Caenorhabditis elegans: one gene and its partners. The protein of the gene in region 1 interacts with the protein of each later gene in a pairwise test. Each region holds a gene or a part of one and is shown in the gene's direction. Other genes may lie near its edges.

Evidence for each region.
Region 2: the proteins of gex-3 (region 1) and tmem-132 interact in a two-hybrid assay, tested with the Caenorhabditis elegans proteins (one study listed by BioGRID).
Region 3: the proteins of gex-3 (region 1) and gex-2 interact in binary tests that used the Caenorhabditis elegans proteins (3 or more experiments, as listed by UniProt).

What each region holds. Positions count from the first base shown.
Region 1 is NC_003282.8:12,402,751-12,409,286, forward strand, and holds gex-3 (Membrane-associated protein gex-3), read left to right. Parts: upstream 1-1,680; 5' UTR 1,681-1,684; coding exon 1,685-1,796; intron 1,797-1,846; coding exon 1,847-1,947; intron 1,948-1,993; coding exon 1,994-2,143; intron 2,144-2,213; coding exon 2,214-2,585; intron 2,586-2,634; coding exon 2,635-2,683; intron 2,684-2,739; coding exon 2,740-2,953; intron 2,954-3,005; coding exon 3,006-3,315; intron 3,316-3,365; coding exon 3,366-4,107; intron 4,108-4,165; coding exon 4,166-4,390; intron 4,391-4,441; coding exon 4,442-5,263; intron 5,264-5,312; coding exon 5,313-5,425; intron 5,426-5,474; coding exon 5,475-5,690; 3' UTR 5,691-5,940; downstream 5,941-6,536. Other genes in the region: dsb-1 (Double-Strand Break factor), read left to right, coding at 6,185-6,262, 6,308-6,426, 6,476-6,536. UniProt on the Caenorhabditis elegans protein: Rac effector required for tissue morphogenesis, cell migrations and egg laying. May play a role in egg laying and in yolk protein clatherin-mediated endocytosis by oocytes during oogenesis.
Region 2 is NC_003281.10:2,713,480-2,718,317, reverse strand, and holds the start of tmem-132 (Transmembrane protein 132 homolog), read left to right. Parts: upstream 1-1,703; 5' UTR 1,704-2,040; coding exon 2,041-2,077; intron 2,078-3,191; coding exon 3,192-3,295; intron 3,296-3,364; coding exon 3,365-3,499; intron 3,500-3,738; coding exon 3,739-3,844; intron 3,845-4,436; coding exon 4,437-4,674; intron 4,675-4,721; coding exon 4,722-4,832; intron 4,833-4,838.
Region 3 is NC_003282.8:571,149-575,859, forward strand, and holds the start of gex-2 (Cytoplasmic FMR1-interacting protein homolog), read left to right. Parts: upstream 1-1,620; 5' UTR 1,621-1,627; coding exon 1,628-1,672; intron 1,673-1,719; coding exon 1,720-1,790; intron 1,791-1,839; coding exon 1,840-1,930; intron 1,931-1,985; coding exon 1,986-2,165; intron 2,166-4,711. UniProt on the Caenorhabditis elegans protein: Required for initial steps of body morphogenesis. May play a role in egg laying and yolk protein clatherin-mediated endocytosis by oocytes during oogenesis.

The sequences.
Region 1 (6,536 bases):
ATATAAGCTTTTAGGTCAAAAGCTTGCCATGCACAGTTTCAAAAAGTATGGAATTTTTGAGTTTATTTTAGGTATCTATTCTGTGTTCGTAGACTATGTAGAAGTAAAGTACGAGAAAATGCAATGTAAAATTTCAAAAGAGCCAAGATATGGGCGGAGCCTAATTTGGAAAATCAGTGCAGCATTGTCAAAGTTTATGCTATTAAATACTTAAATCAAAAACTTTGAATTTTAATTTAAAATCACCAACTTGAGTCTTGTCACGATCGAAACATTTCAACTAACGAAACAATCAAAGAGGTACGGTAGTTGAAAAATTCCGCGCGTGCCAGGACCCGATAGAAACTGTTCGATCGGTATTACGCAATGTGTGTAAAACGATTCAAAAGAACAGAAAATAATTGTATTACAGAGAACGGAAGAGATAAAAGTTGTATAGACATATGGAAACTAGAAACACGTTTGACACAGTGAATAGATTGAATGAGGCGAGCTGTAGAAGATGGAGAAGCTGTATGAATGCGATGACTTCGCACCTTTTCTGACAGATTTAAGATGAAGATAGTTGTTTTTTTTGCAAGTTAAATGAAACGAACAAGTGAAAACTTTGAATCCAAAAAGTTTCATAAAAAGATATGAAATGAAGAAAAATGTGTAGAAGTAACAAAAGTGAGTGGAAGTATTCAACGAAAAGCGATGGAAACATTTGAATGAAAGGAAGGCCTCCCGGGAAAGAGGGAGAGAAAGAGAGGCTAACCATCCGTCCGGCCTTTCGTCAAACCCGTTTCTCTCTTTCACAGTTTCCCGATCCTTGCTGGTCTCATGCTTCTTCTTCTTCTCCTCCATCTACAGCCATTTCGGTGTTGTTCGCTATTGTAAACGATGTGAGAATTTCTTCGGACTATCAGAGAGAGAGAGATAGAGAGAGAGAGAGGGAGAGAGACCAGCTATCTATAGCATTTGACCTGATAAGAAAGCCGATTCGAATCGACGGTGGAAAGGTTTGATGAACTAAGCTGCCACGGAGGGACGAAGAGATATAAATTGGAAATATTTGGAAATATCAAATGAAATATTTCGTAATTGGATGTGAAACTGTCTGTCTGTATTTAGGGATTTACAAGGAATTTTTGTTCTTCTCACTAAACAATCACTATACATAAAGTGGGGAAATAATTTGGAAAAATATGATTTTTAAGAAAAGTCGACACAAAAGTTCACAAAAAGCTTGAAAGTTCATAAAAGCAACATATTTGGTGAATAGTTCTTCAGTTTGATTTTATGTTTTTTTTTTCCAAACATTCCAAATATTTTTTTTTGTTCGTTTTTCCAGTTCTTGAACCTCGTCAGTGCCATTCACGGTGATCTAGATCATATTCTGCGGTGACAAATTGCAATAAAACAAGAAGTTTATTCCCCATTAAATAAACTTCTTTTGTAAAAACCTGAAAATCTGTCTGAAAATAGCTTTTTTAAATATTTTCGTGGTCTAGATTTTTCGTGGTCTACATTTTTTATAACGGTCTCCCTCTCTCGTTCAAACTGCCGCCAACAAAAGAGCGCAATAGAGCATGCTTGCACAGCCGTGGTGAGAGACACCTCTTGTTTAATTGAATGCGCCTTTAAACTGTAATCCAATTTGTGACTCATTTCCCCTTCAATTTTCTCTCCAATTTTCAGCAAAATGGCTTACAAAGATGCCAGACAGGTGAAAATTGCTGAAAAACTTGTGATACTGAATGATCGTGCTGCTGGAATGATGACACGGATATACAATATTAAGAAATCAAGCGGCGGTGAGTAGTCTTTGAAAATTTCTGTTGTTATAAAATGCTGAAGATTTCAGATTCAAAAGTGAAACCACAATTTCTTAGCGACAAGAAGATGGAAGGTGCAATCAAACATATAGTTAGAAAGTTTCCTGTTGTTGATTGCAGATCGAATTCAGTGAGTAGTTCAAATTGTTGATTTCTCATGCCGAAATTAATTTCAGTCGACGTTCGAATATGTACAAGAAAAGTCCACGGAAATTACAAAATCTTTATCGCTATATTACTACACATTTGCTGATATTCTTGATTTAAAAGATCACATTATGCAAGTTTTGACAACTATGGAATCATGTCAATGTCAGCTGGATGTGGTGAGTATATTATTGATTTTAAATATTTATATCGTTCGTATAATGTTTAAGCTAAAATTTTATTTTTTAGACGCTCAATTACGACCTGACAACGAGTTATTTGAATCTTGTTGTACATCTCGTCACAATGATGATTCTTTTATCAAGAATTGAAGACCGGAAAGCTGTTCTTGGACTTTTTAATGCGGCATATGATCTACAACACGGACAAAGTGAAGCATCATTTCCAAGATTAGGACAAATGATTCTTGATTATGAAAATCCGTTAAAAAAGCTTCATGAAGATCTCGGACCACTGAACAGGCTAATTTATTCAGCTCTTTCTTCTGTTACACACACATATCAGCGCAGAAACAAGACAGCAGATTCATGGAGAACATCAAATGTTTTCTCGTTGACCGCTGCTCCAGCACAAATTTTATATGCTGCTCAAACAGAAACTGTGAGCAAGTTTTTATTTAATGGAAAATTATTTATGTAAATCGTTTCAGATTGCATGCGAATATCTATCACTCGACGTCATTGATCGATGGATTGTGTGTAAGTTAATATACAAATTAGTATTAAAATGTTTATTAAAATTGTAATATTTTCAGTCTGCGGAACAGTATGCCATTCAACTCTTCTTAACGATGACAACATTAGGCACATGTGGCAGCTGGCACTTCAAATGAATCTGTGTCTTCGCGTTTTCCGAGACGAAACATTTATTGTTCATCAAGAGATTCAAGCGTTTTTAGAATCTTCCAAAGAAAAAAGCAAACGGTTACAAGATGTTAAAGATGCGTTCAATCATGCATCTGTTACTGCGTAAGTTAAAAAATATGATAAACAAAGCGTTTTCTAATAATTTGTATTTCAGAGTTGCCGTCCACGCAGACCGTCGCCGCTTCCTTAGAAGTTCTCTTCGAGAGCTGTCACTTTTACTACGAGATCAGCCCGGACTACTTGGCCCGAAAATTCTCTATGTCTGGATGGCTCTTGGAGCAGGAAGAGATGAGGTCATATGGCTTCTACGGCATCAAGTTGAAGTTCCTGCTATCAGCAAAAAAGGCAGCAGAATGGTCGAGGAGCTTGTTGACAGGCAACTTCCAGAACTGCTATTTTATATGCTGGAATTAAGAGATCTCGTTACGAAATATTATGCAGTGATTCAAAGATACTATCTACAGGTTTTGTTAAAACTTTAAATTTATCTATTTTAAATCTTTTTTATTTTCAGTACGTGTCTAGCTATGATTCAATTGTTGTTTCTGAAGAGATTAACCAAGCAAATGGCCTCACCCAGGAAGAAGCGGTTCTTTTGACCGATTTTGCCAACGAAATAGGAAATATCAACTCTGATACGGATCTTCGTGCTCTTCGACTAGACTGGTTTAGATTTCAAGCTTGGACATCTGCTGCTCGGAGCCATTTCCAACTTTCAAGACATAAAAAACTCGCAATATACATGAATACTTCAGTTTTTCATCTGAAAATGATCGATTTGCAAGACGAGATGCTAAGGGAAACAAGTGATTTATCATTATACTGCTTCTATCCAAAACTCGCTGAAAAACATTGGCTCAACTGTCTCCAGCTACCTGCTCAAGCTCGATATGTGCTCAGTTTTGCACGTCTTGCCGCGCATTTCACAAGCGCCCTCCATGACATGTGTCCTGAAGAAAAAGCATTTATCACTGAAAAAGCCTTGGCTCAATGCAATTCTGTAATTGAAGAGACGTGCAAACAATTGTCATATATCCTGGAAAAAGTGGCTGAACATGAATTCGGATTAGCTTATCAAATGACACCGAGCGCCGTGGCTGTAAGAGTTGTTGCTCAAGTTGTTCAACAGAAAGGATCTGGAAAAGCTGCAGCGGCGGCCGCAGCAGCCGCTCGAGATTATTTCATTGCTGGAGAAGAAAGTTATCGAGTTGATCGTCAAGCATTAACAATGCCTGATAAGTTGCAAACAACTCTTCGTAAGTTTTAAAACGTTTTTTAAATTAGATTTTATATCACAAATTTCCCACTTTTCAGTTGAAATCTCTGCAGCTCTCGGAGCTCATCGTCAAATTTACGTTGCTGATCACACATTTGCACCGAGGACGTACCTAGCGCAGTCCCTTGAAACTAAATTTGTAGAATTGCTTCATGGAATGTTCTGGGAAGGTCAACCACATGCAAGTAATCCAAAAAGACCAAGTGAAATGCTCCTTGCGCTACAAGCCTACATGACGGTTCTTCAAAATCTTGATACAGCAAGTAAGTGGTTTTTAAAATAATCTATAAATATTCTCATAAATGGAATTTCAGTTTCTGTGGATATCAGTAATACAATGCAAACAACTCTTCTACAACAAACTCAACTCGTTGATTCCAAGAATAAAGACACAATCGCAGCACTCTACACGAAATGGTATCTCGAAGTTTTGCTCCGTCGTGCTTCATCTGGTCATATGGTTTGGAGTGAGCATCTACGAACAATGTTATCATCAGGACAGGAACAACTCTCGTTCATGCCCGATCATTATTCAGATCCTCAAGAATTGAGAGCATTGGTTCAAATTATCGGACCTTATGGAGTAAAGTTGATGACTGAACGGCTGATTTGGCACGTGGCCAGTCAAATTATGGAGATGAGCAAGATTGTTGCAACATACAAAGATGCTCTACAGATTGCTAGATCTAATTTCGATAATGCTGAAAAGATGAAGGATGTTTTAAATCTTTTGAGCGTCGAACCAAAGGACAAGAAAACTCCGAACGCAACATGCGCAGCTGATGCAATTCTGCAAAGAACTATTATTATCGGACAGATTTGTCTGTTTCGTGATGCTCTCCACGATGCTCTTCGTCATATCGTCGAATCTAAATTGCCATTTCTTCAAGCATCATTTGATATGCTTTATCACAATTTGGACGATGTTGATAAAGTTAAAATTGGAGAAATGTCAGCTGCGATGGGAGTCACAGGACCAGTTGATATGTCGTTGGTGAATGCGGTTCGTGCTCAAAATCCGAATATTCACCCTCAAGAACACTATGTTAATAGTTGTCTATTGATGGTTGCCGTCGCTATCTGTATTCCACGAATTGGAATGTCGGATCTTTCGTCTTACAAGCCTAGCATTCAAGGTACATACTTTTACAGCTTTTTGCAAAAATTAAAAATAAACAATTTCAGCCAGCTTGAACAATAGTCACTGTGTTCCAATGGCGATTAACACTATCGGATCAGCTCTTTTCCATCTCCACGAGCAAAATGATATCCAGTCGAGGATGAAGGAGTTCTTGGCGGTTAGCTCTATCATTATTAACACATATTCTCACCTAGAAAAATTTTCAGCTCGCGTCCTCGGGTATTCTACGAACTATTCATGAACGTGATAACAGTCGACAAATATCCGACGACGTTCTTCGTTCCCACACAACTCTCTACATTATCCTTGAACAGATGGTTCGGAAAAACCGTTGGCTGTCGATGGATGTTCTTGAAACCTGTTTCCCATATAATCTCGTCCGTACAGCCTACCAACAATGCTACGAGGCTGATGCTCAATAATTTTATCTGCGATCCCAATATGTACAGCTACGATCCCTTCTCACATACTTCCTGTGCCTGTATTTTATTTATTTTATTTTTCTTTCTTCAACGAACCATTACTATACGGGTTCCCGCTTCCGAATACCGCCTTTTTGACTATTATTCCCTGCATTTTCGTGTGAATCATTGCTCCCAAGTACTCATTTTGCCTTCCATTTGGCTTTAATTTATTGCAGTTTGTCGTCATAATAAACTTTTTATCAATTTATCAAAAATTTTTATTTTATCTATTACATAAATGCGATTAAATTTTAAGTTAAAAAAACGAGAATTAGCTAAATTAGATATGCTTGGTAATTTGAATTTGAATTCGCGCGTAAAAGTGATGGATGGGTCTCGCCACGACCGGCATGCAATTTTGAATTTTTTCACATTTTGAGGTCCAATGAGGTCGAAATTTTTAGACATTTTTAGTAAAAAAAAATTATTTATGTTTTTGCAGTCTCTTCAGTATGTTTCCTGAATTGCAGACACTCCAGTGGCCGATCATAAAGTATAAGCAATTGAGAGGAAGCGGTAATCGACAAGAGGTTTTAAAAATAGATGAATTCTGTATCGAAAAGTTAAATTTGCAGGGCAAAGATATTCGCGTTGTTATGGAGGTGAATAGCAGGAAGCTGACGGTTATTCATGGAGTCGAGCCGATCGAGACCGTTTATTGTAACATGGAAGTTTCTAGGTATCCGAGTTTGAAGTGAGTCTTTGTTGTTTGAGAAATTAAAGTCAAATTGCCCGGTTTTCAGAATGAAGAACACAAATTTGTTCGTGATTGTAAACAACCAGGCTCAAGGTTTCCGATTAACT
Region 2 (4,838 bases), on another chromosome or scaffold:
TTTTTACTGATTTTCTCTTGATTTTCGACTTTTTTTTGTAATTTTTTCCACTCCAATTATCGCCTACTAAACTGTTCTATAAATTGTATATTTCTCATCAAAACCAATTTTTCAGCGAGAATCAATTTTTAAATCGCAATTATAAAAATTTTCGATTTTTTCCCAAAAAATTTTAGATTACAAAAATCGAAAACAAAAACAATTTTTATCTAATTTTATTCAGATTTATGACAAAAAAGAAAACATGAGTTTTTCTTCTAAAAATTAGGAAAATGAGCAAAAAATTAGGATATTTTTTCGAAAAATCAAATTTTTTTCGATTTTTTGAAAAATCGGACAAAAAATGTTTAGAATCAAATTTTGTTTATTACGGGAATACTATATTCTGAGATTCCGTATTAGGCAATAAATTTGACTCAAATTCGGTTTTTTTTCCTAGTCTTTCCTAGCTCAATTTCGAGGATTTTGGGTTACTGTAGCTCCAAAAATACGCGAATACCGATTAGACACTGAATCTTACGACAAATTGCGGAGTTTGCTCAAATTTCGAGTTTAGCATTCAATTTTTGATTGAAATGCGTTTTTTCTAGTTTTTCACTCAATTTTAAAATAATCCGGGTTACTGTAGCTCCAGAAGTACGCACACACCGATTAGGCACCAAATCTTACGCCAATTTGCAGAAAATCTGAGAAAATTGAAATTTTGTGGTCAATAAAAACGTTCTGAATATTGAAGAATTGGAGTTTCTAGCTTAATTTTGAGGTTTTTGGGTTACTGCACGGCCCGGCAAGTGGTACATCCATGCAAATGCGCTCTACTGATAATTTGAGTGTAGACCAGGTTTGGGCGCGTGATAACGAAAAAAGCTTTGGTCCAAAAAATTTAGAATTTAATTTCGGACATTTTTTATATGCATCACAAAAAAACTGGACCAACCGTTTTTGAGATACACGCGCCCAGGTATACGGTAGACAAATTGCGTACAGGTACCACTTCTCGGGCCGTGTACTGTAGCTCCAGAAATATTACGGGAACAATAAATCATGAGAATGCGTACTTGGTGCATTTTATTTGGCGCGCGATATCTCTTAGAGAAAACTACAGTAAGAACTCAAATAACAATAGATATTTAAGCTCTTACTGTAGTTTTCGCTAAGAGATATATCTCATGATTTATTGTTCCCGTAATACGCAAATTGCGGAGTTTGTTCAAATTTTGAGTTCAGCATTCAATTTTTAAACGAAATGCGGATTTTTATAGTCAAAGCTCAACTTTAAGGCAAAATATCTCGTAGCGAAAACTACAGTAATTGTTTAATTACTACTGTAGTGCTGGTGTCGATTTACGGGCCCGATTTTTGAAACTGCTGTTCGAATATTCGATTTTCTTAGTTTTCTTTTAATATTGCAATAATTAATCAATAATTTTCGTAAATCGACATAAGCGCTACAGTAGTCATTTAAACGATTACTGTAGTTTTCGCTACGAGATATTTTGCGCGTCAAATATGTTGTGCAATACGTATTCTCGGAGTTTAGTCTTCCCAGGCATAAGAAAATATACAATTTTCTTCTACAAAGAAGAAAAATGGCTATTTTTCGGAAAATCGATTTTTTTTTCAAATTATCGAAAAAAATTAGGTTTTTCCAAAAAAATCGAGACCCTTATTCTCGCCCCTAAAAAAACCTAGCATTTTTTCAGCTCAATTGCAGTAAAACCCTCATGCATATGTAGTCGAGTAGCAGCAACAGCAGCTGTGACCAGCCAAAAGAAGAAAACGAAGCGGATGCAGAAGTAGTCGTCGTTTTGATCTCTGCGTCTCTCTCTGCAATTCTATCTCTCTCTCTGCTCCGGCGGGCCGCCGCGGCGTCGTCGTCCTCGTCTTTTTTGCCGATTTGCTCTTTTTTTCGTCGTAGTCGTCACTTAGGCTCTGCTCGTTTTGAGCCGCCTATATTTATTTTCTATTTTTATTTGAACAACAGACTACTATGTGATAAAAGAGATATGATATCATTTTATCAATTTCCATGAAGAGAAAATGCTGAAAAAGCTTTGGATTTGTATCTCCTGCATTGGTTAGTTTGGAGTTTTCACCCCTGGAAATAATTGGCTTCATTTAAAAAAAAATTAGCTGAATAATTATTTTTTTAAAAGGAAAATTAGGCTAACTCTGAAAATAAGTAAATTCATATTATAATTGTAAATTCAAAAAAGTACAGTAATATTCAATGAGTCTCGCCACGAAGAGTTAGATTTTTAGAAAATATGAATGTGCGTTTAATTTTACCATTTTAGGAAAAAAAACACAAGTTTTTAAAAAATTAAAAATAGAATAAAATTGGAATATATACAGTAAATTGAAAAAGTTTTTGAAATTTTGTTTGCGCGGTGAGACCAAAGAATTCATAAATTTTTGATTTTTTTTGAATAAAAGTCGAAAAGCCAAAAATTTCAGATTTTTCAGCAAATTTTGATAATAATTTTTTCTGAAAAACCTGATTTTTCAGAAAAAAAATTTTAAACTAAATTTTTTCAATACGCGGTCATGAAAATATAAAACTAGGCCCATGTTTCAGACATAATCACGTGGTATCAGAGTGTCTCATTTCTGCTTGATCTACAAAAAATGCGGGAGAAGAGACGTAGAGTTCTCCACTGATTTCGCATGGTTAAGAACGTGCTGACGTCACATATTTTTGGGCAAAAAATACCCGCATTTTTTGTAGATCAAACCGCAATGGGATAGCCTGACACCACGCGAATAATGATAAAATCCTGAAAAAAAAGAGAAAAAGAAATACGAAACCGAAAAGTGCATTTGACACTTTTTTCCGATGCGCCATGTCTTGCTCATCTTTGACGGCTCATATCTCGGTTGCCTTTTGGTTTTATTTAAAAAATTTCCACTGGAAAAATAATTTTTATTGCTTTTTCTACAGTTTTGCATTAAAAAATAATTTGATATCATCAAAACTCACAGATTTACGAGCAGCCAAAGTTGTCCTCATTCCCAGACATGGTGCATCAGACTGATTTAACTTTGACAGCTCATATCTCGGTTGTCTTTATTTTTATCAAAAGATTGTCAACTAACAAAAAGTGTAGTATATTTTTTTCTACAGATTTGTAGTTGAAAGTTTTTTGATATCTTCAAAACTCACAGAGATATAAAGCTTCGAAAAATTACAGTCACTACTGCTCTCTCGGACCACATCACATTCTCCCCGCCCGATGAAGCATTCGTATTATTTCACAGTCATCAAAACACAAATTTTACATCTGTATTTGTTCAGGTAAGAGTTTGCTCAGAAGGCAGGCCTGTAAGCAGGCAGGTAGGCCTTCATTAAACCTCTAACTTTCAGGATGGTTGTCCGAATAGTCGAAATCTCATGGCGACCGTTTACTCTGCAGATTTGTCATCTTCAAGACGGGTTTTTGAAGAAATCCCGTTGCATTGTGCGGTCAGAGTCAGGATTATTACGGAGAAAGTTGTCGTGGTAAGGGAAAATATTTTCTGGGAGTTTTTCAGAAAGTTCTAGGCATTTCTAGAAATCTTCAAAAATTCAATAAAGTTTTCCAAAAAAAAAATTTCGAATTGTACTGAAATTTCTTGAATTATTTTTTGAACGTTATAGAATTTCCAAAAACTTTTCCGAAATTGTTTTAAAATTTTCCAGGTTTTTCCAGAAATTTGTCAGAGACATCAGCTTCAAAGTGCAAAATATCAATTTTCCAGACGAGACCCTATGTTGATTTACTGGCAGTTGTAGACGAGTCACTTTCTCGTCATGTCGGAGCAATTTGTGTGCATGCTCAACTAACTTCATCAACTTCTGCAATCGGTGAGCTCATGTCAAGTTCAGTCGGACTAAAAACGCAACTAGTTATGGGAAAATTGGAAATAATTAGTTTTTTTGCGTCTTGTCGGTGTTTCAAAGATCAAAAAAAAAATTGCGCGTAATACAAGTATGGTGCATTAATTTTCGAGAAATTTAAATTTAAATTGCGCGCCAAATTAGAATTTTAACTTCGCGCCAAAAAAAAATAAATTTGACGCCAACATTTAGAAAAAAACATTTAAATTCGAATTTCGCCCCAAAATTTGGAAAAAAACTGAAAAATTCAAACTTCGCGCCAAAAATTAGAAAAAATATAAAAAAATTTTAATTTCGCGCCAAACGTTGAAAAAATCTGAAAATTTCAAATTTCGTCCCAAGTTTTTAAAAATTTTTGAAAGAATTTCGAACTGTGGCAAAAAATTTGAAAAAATCAGAAAAATTCGAATTCCTCGCCAAAATTTGAAAGAAAAGTACTAAAAATTGAATTTTGTCCCAAATTTTCTAAAATCCCCCAAGGGGACCTACGCAGCCTTCTCAATAGGCAGGCAGGTAGGCAGGTAAGCATAACAAATAATCCCTACTATAATTTTTCCAGAGCTCGGAAAATGCTACCTAAACCGTCACGAAGATCAAAAATCGAGCTGCGTTATCCGAATCCCCGTACCATTTTCATGGTTCCCAGTGGATCAGAATCGAACAAGTGTGCTCTCAGTCTCCTATACTGTATCCGAAAAATGTGATCAAAACTTCCATGATCTACCACAACATTTGATTGAAGTCAACTCCCGAATCGCCAAACAGAAAATCGATTGGCTCGCCAACGCTACAGAAACGTCTGGAATTCTCTAGAATTTTTTAAAAAAGTAATTCAAATTTTCAGATCAGTAACACTACTATCTACGGCGAGCCAGGCGTTTTCTCAAAATTCAATGCAAACATTGTTTCTTCACGTCAAAAGTTGGGCAAATGAAACACAGCCAATGGAAATTAGGTGACA
Region 3 (4,711 bases), about 12 Mb from region 1:
CAAAAGTTAATTTTATACGATCGACGTCGTAACAAAATTTAAGACCACTTTAACGTATTTTCCTAGTGATTATTTTACTGGGGACCGTGTTAAATATTTTTAGTCTAATTTTTACCCTAACACTTACTATGAGCAGTTCAAATTGTAGCCAGATGTCTATTTAACAAATCTGCATAGTTTCAGAAAACAGCTAGTTTTCAACTGGCAGATATTACCTAGAACACGTTCCATATTTTAAGTCATTATTTGTAAAAACAGTTCAGTGAATAACGTCCAGTTGGTAGGCTGTGTTGCAAATTCTGTCAACTTCATAATTTTGAGAAAATTAATTTTAAAAAACTAAAAAAAACAAAGCTAAAACGTTTTAAAAATGTCACGTTTCACGCTAAGGAACATGTTTTCTCGAATTTACGTTAGAAAATCCACATTTAGAAAAACACGTAAAAATTTTTTTTCATTTCACAGTCACTCAGTCAAGCGGACAACAAGGATCTGGAGCCGGAAAACAGACGATAAGTAGGCAGGTAGGTAAGTAGGTATGCTAGGGCTATTATACAACAAAATGGAAATAGTATTAGATGGAAACAATGTTTGCGTTTGAACACTAAATCTATTGGAAAAAGAAAATAATAATGGATAATTTTTGAAGTGACAGAGCATTGGTAAGACGTGCACGAAAACAAAATTGATAATGACCAGATTGGATTTACCAACTTATTAGATAGGGGAAAAGAATCCCTAGTAAAAATTCACTAGGAAAGACGTTAAAGTAGTCTTGGATTTTGTTGCGACGTCGATCGTAAAAAATTTTGATCTACACTTATTGATCTGGCCGCGTAAAGTCGTATTTGTGCCATTCTCGCTTGAAAGGCTGTGAAAGGCAAGAATTCAACCTTTTTCAACCTTTATTGGCATTTTGTATTTTCCCCATTTTGCCCCTCTACGATCATAAAATAACGTTTTTGTCTAGACCAATGGTATAGTAGTAGCATATTCACACGACGTTAAACGGAATAGAGTTTGTGGGTGTTTCACTTAAATAGATTGAAAAAATGGTCCAAAACATAATTAATGTGACTTCTCAAAAACTTCCAAAAATGTTCTAGAGCTTAGAAATTTTTGAGAAGCCTCATTATGAAATTCGGTGGTTTTAATTCAGTTTTAGTCTTTTGAGCAAAATATCTACAAATTCTGTTCTTTTTTTAAAGTAGTCTTGGACTTTGAAACGAGACCTCTGTTAAAATAGATTTCAAAATCGATTTTTGGTGAGCCCATTCAGCATAAATGCGCCCTCATTTAAAGTCGTAGTAGTAAAATAAATACGTGTATAAAAGTATAAAAGCATAAATAAATCTTAAAATTATTCGGAATTTCAGCTAAATTCCCAATCATTAGTTTGAGTTTAGCTTTACTTTTACTTCTAGACACATAACTAGCATGATTTTTTCTTTCCTTGTTTTAGTGACATCGCGGGCACTCCTCGAAACTAGGTCCGCAGAGTGAGCGTCGGTGTTTGCGGACACAGTCACCCTCTCTCCCACCTCTACACACTCACACCTTTGATTCATTCAAACAGTGCCCCCTCCCCCCGTGAGCAATCGTTTTAATGATATTTTGCAGCTGAAAAATGAACGCAAACGTAACTGTCGACGATGCCATAAGCAATGTGAATGTGAGTTTTTAAAATAAAAAAAAGCAAACATACCAGATGTTTTGCAGCTTCTCGACACCCTCGCCATACCCGATGATTTACCCGATATTGAGGCGAGAGCTCTTCCCTTGCTCTATAGGTTTGTAGCGAAACTGAAAGAAGAAAACAAATTCAAAAATTATTTTCAGATCAAACTTCGACACAAACTTCGAAGATCGTAGTGCATTTGTGACGGGAATTGCCAAGTACAGTGAGGAAGCCACCAGGCATGCACAATTTGTGAGTTAATCGATAAAGTGTGGACAGGAAATTAGTCAACAGAAAATTATTACAGAATGACATGCTTTCTGAAGGATTGCAACATGCTGCAAATATGTACACTTGGAGATGTTGTTCGAGAGCAGTTCCAATGGCAAAGTCGAATGATCAGCCGAATCGAACGGAAATCAATGAGATGGTTGTGGAAGTTTTGAAGCCAGAAGTCAGCAAGCTCGGCAGTTTTATGCGATTTACGGTAGGTTAAATTAATTCCAAATTTGGAGTTTAAAATGACAAAAAATAATCGAAAATATTGAAACTTCAGACATTTTCGCATATGAAATTTGAAATTTATTTACCAAGCATTTTTACACAAAAAAAAAAGTTGGAAAATATGATTATTTCATACATTTCACCTGGACAGTTCGGAACTTCATTTATAGGAAATTTGAAATTCCAAGCATTTTTACACGAAAAATTAAATAATTTTACCAATTTTCAACTGAAAACTTCCATATAGGCAGACTTTTTTATACCGAAAATTGGTAAATACTTTTTTACCATAGTAGATAGTTTTTATTTTTACTATAACAACCAATTCCTGAAAAAGTTTTTAAAAAATCCTGGCTAAAAAACTTTTAAAAAGTATATTTTAATAACGATCTTCAATATATATATCAAAGTTTTGGCAAAATGCCAAAATAATATTTTGAAAGTGTCTCACATTTTTGAGTAGAAACATAATTAGAATATAGAATATTTGACCGTTTTCCAAAAACATTATCTTTAATTAGAAAGTATTTTCGAACTATTTTGACCTTCCGAAGTGTTATATCCAGAACAGGGCTGGGACTTTTTCGTTTTCGCGTTTTCGTTTTTTCGTTATTTTCGGGGTTTTGACGAAAATGTTCGAAAAACGAAAATAAAACGACTTTATTTAATTCTGGTATTTTTTCCACTTTCTTTCGAACTTTCGCCGAAATTTTGCTCTCCGGTGTGGATAGTATTGAAAAATCAATTATTTTCTTCTAAGACTCAGTACTGAAGATTAACTTTAAAAACAAAAAAGGCAACAGTTTTCAGTTTTGGATAACAATTAAAATACTCTTTTGCGTAACAATAGATTCATTCATTTTAAGACAGGACGTTTCTTTGTTTTGAGCTCCAATGTTGGGCTATCTTATTGAATGCACCGAATTTGGCTAAAAATTCATTCAAGCAACAAGTAAAACATATTTCCACAGTATCTAATAAATTTTTGATGATTTTTGAAAAATTAAAGCTTGTTGTTTCTTCAATTCAAAAGTTCAAAACACAATTTCAGATGAAAAATAGAGTTACAGTAGAATCCTTATGTTCGAAAAGGGCTTCAAGTTCTATGGCCTATAAGCACTAATAGAGAATATACGGTAGTTTGTGAAAAGTTTTCGAATAAAAATTTTGAAAAATACGAGCTTTTGAGAAAATTTAAAGAAATGTCGCATATTTCGACCCCTACGAATTTAAACAAAATTAAAACATAAAAAATGTCGAAAAAGAAATTTTTTTGGTCGACTTCCAAAACAGGGGTGTGCGGCAAATCTCAAAATTTGCCGAGCTCGGCAAATTCGGCAAATTCGGCAAATTTGCCGAGCTCGGCAAACGGCAAATTCGGCAAATTTGCCGAGCTCGGCAAACGGCAAATTCGGCAAATTGGCCGAGCTCGGCAAACGGCAAATTCGGCAAATTTGGCAAATTTGCCGAGCTCGGCAAACGGCAAATTCGGCAAATTTGCCGAGCTCGGCAAACGGCAAATTCGGCAAATTCGGCAAATTTGCCGAGCTCGGCAAACGGCAAATTCGGCAAATTCGGCAAATTTGCTGCACACCCCTGTTCCAAAATTATGAGTGGCAAAAACTGAGTAATTGCCACTTTTTGACAGTAAATAAAAATTGTTCAAAAAATTTTTGAAAAGTTTTATCATGATATTTGGTCATTATGGGACTAAAGGAGTGGGTTTTAACAATTTACCCACTGGCACTACTCCACCTTTAATGAGCAAAGTACGTCAATGAGAGAGAGGTAAATGAGTACTTGCCACCAAAAAAGCTTTCGAGGCAACATATGGCCTAAAAACTGTAAGTCCAGTTGTAGATTTGAAACAGTGCTATTTTCGTGTTCGTTTTTGTTTTCGTGTTTTAAAACGAACATTTTCGTTTTCGGTTTCGAAAATGAGATTTCGAAAAAGTCCCAGCCCTGATCCAGAAGCCTCTTTTTACAACCACATTTGCCAATTTGAGATGCAATCGCCTAGTTACAGTGGTGACCGAAATAAAATATGCGTTTTATAACTCACAAACTAGGAACTTTGAAAAGAAAATTTCAAATAACAAACTGGTGCCTAAAATGTCTTCTACATGCTGAAAATGTTTCATGATCCAAAAATATTGAAGGACAAAAGATACAGCGGCCAACACGTCGCAGGTTCATTTTTGGCCTTTTCACTTGAAACGCCTATAACTCAAGAATGATGAGTTTTCATGAAGAAGCTTTGGTGGTGAAATAGTTTGCAACTCATTTTCTATTGAATTTATTTTTTTTAAACCAGCAACATAGAGCTGAAAATTAACGCATACGTTTTTCAACCCACTGCTTACTCGGCTTTTTGAAAATCTGGTCATATTGCACAAAACAATATTTGAGCATATATTTTTAATAACGAATGTTGTAGTTACATTTTGTTTAGATTTGAACTGAAAAACTGATTTTAAAAAAATTTAATCACCATTTTTAAAACGTTTCTCATGAAAACTTTTCATTTTG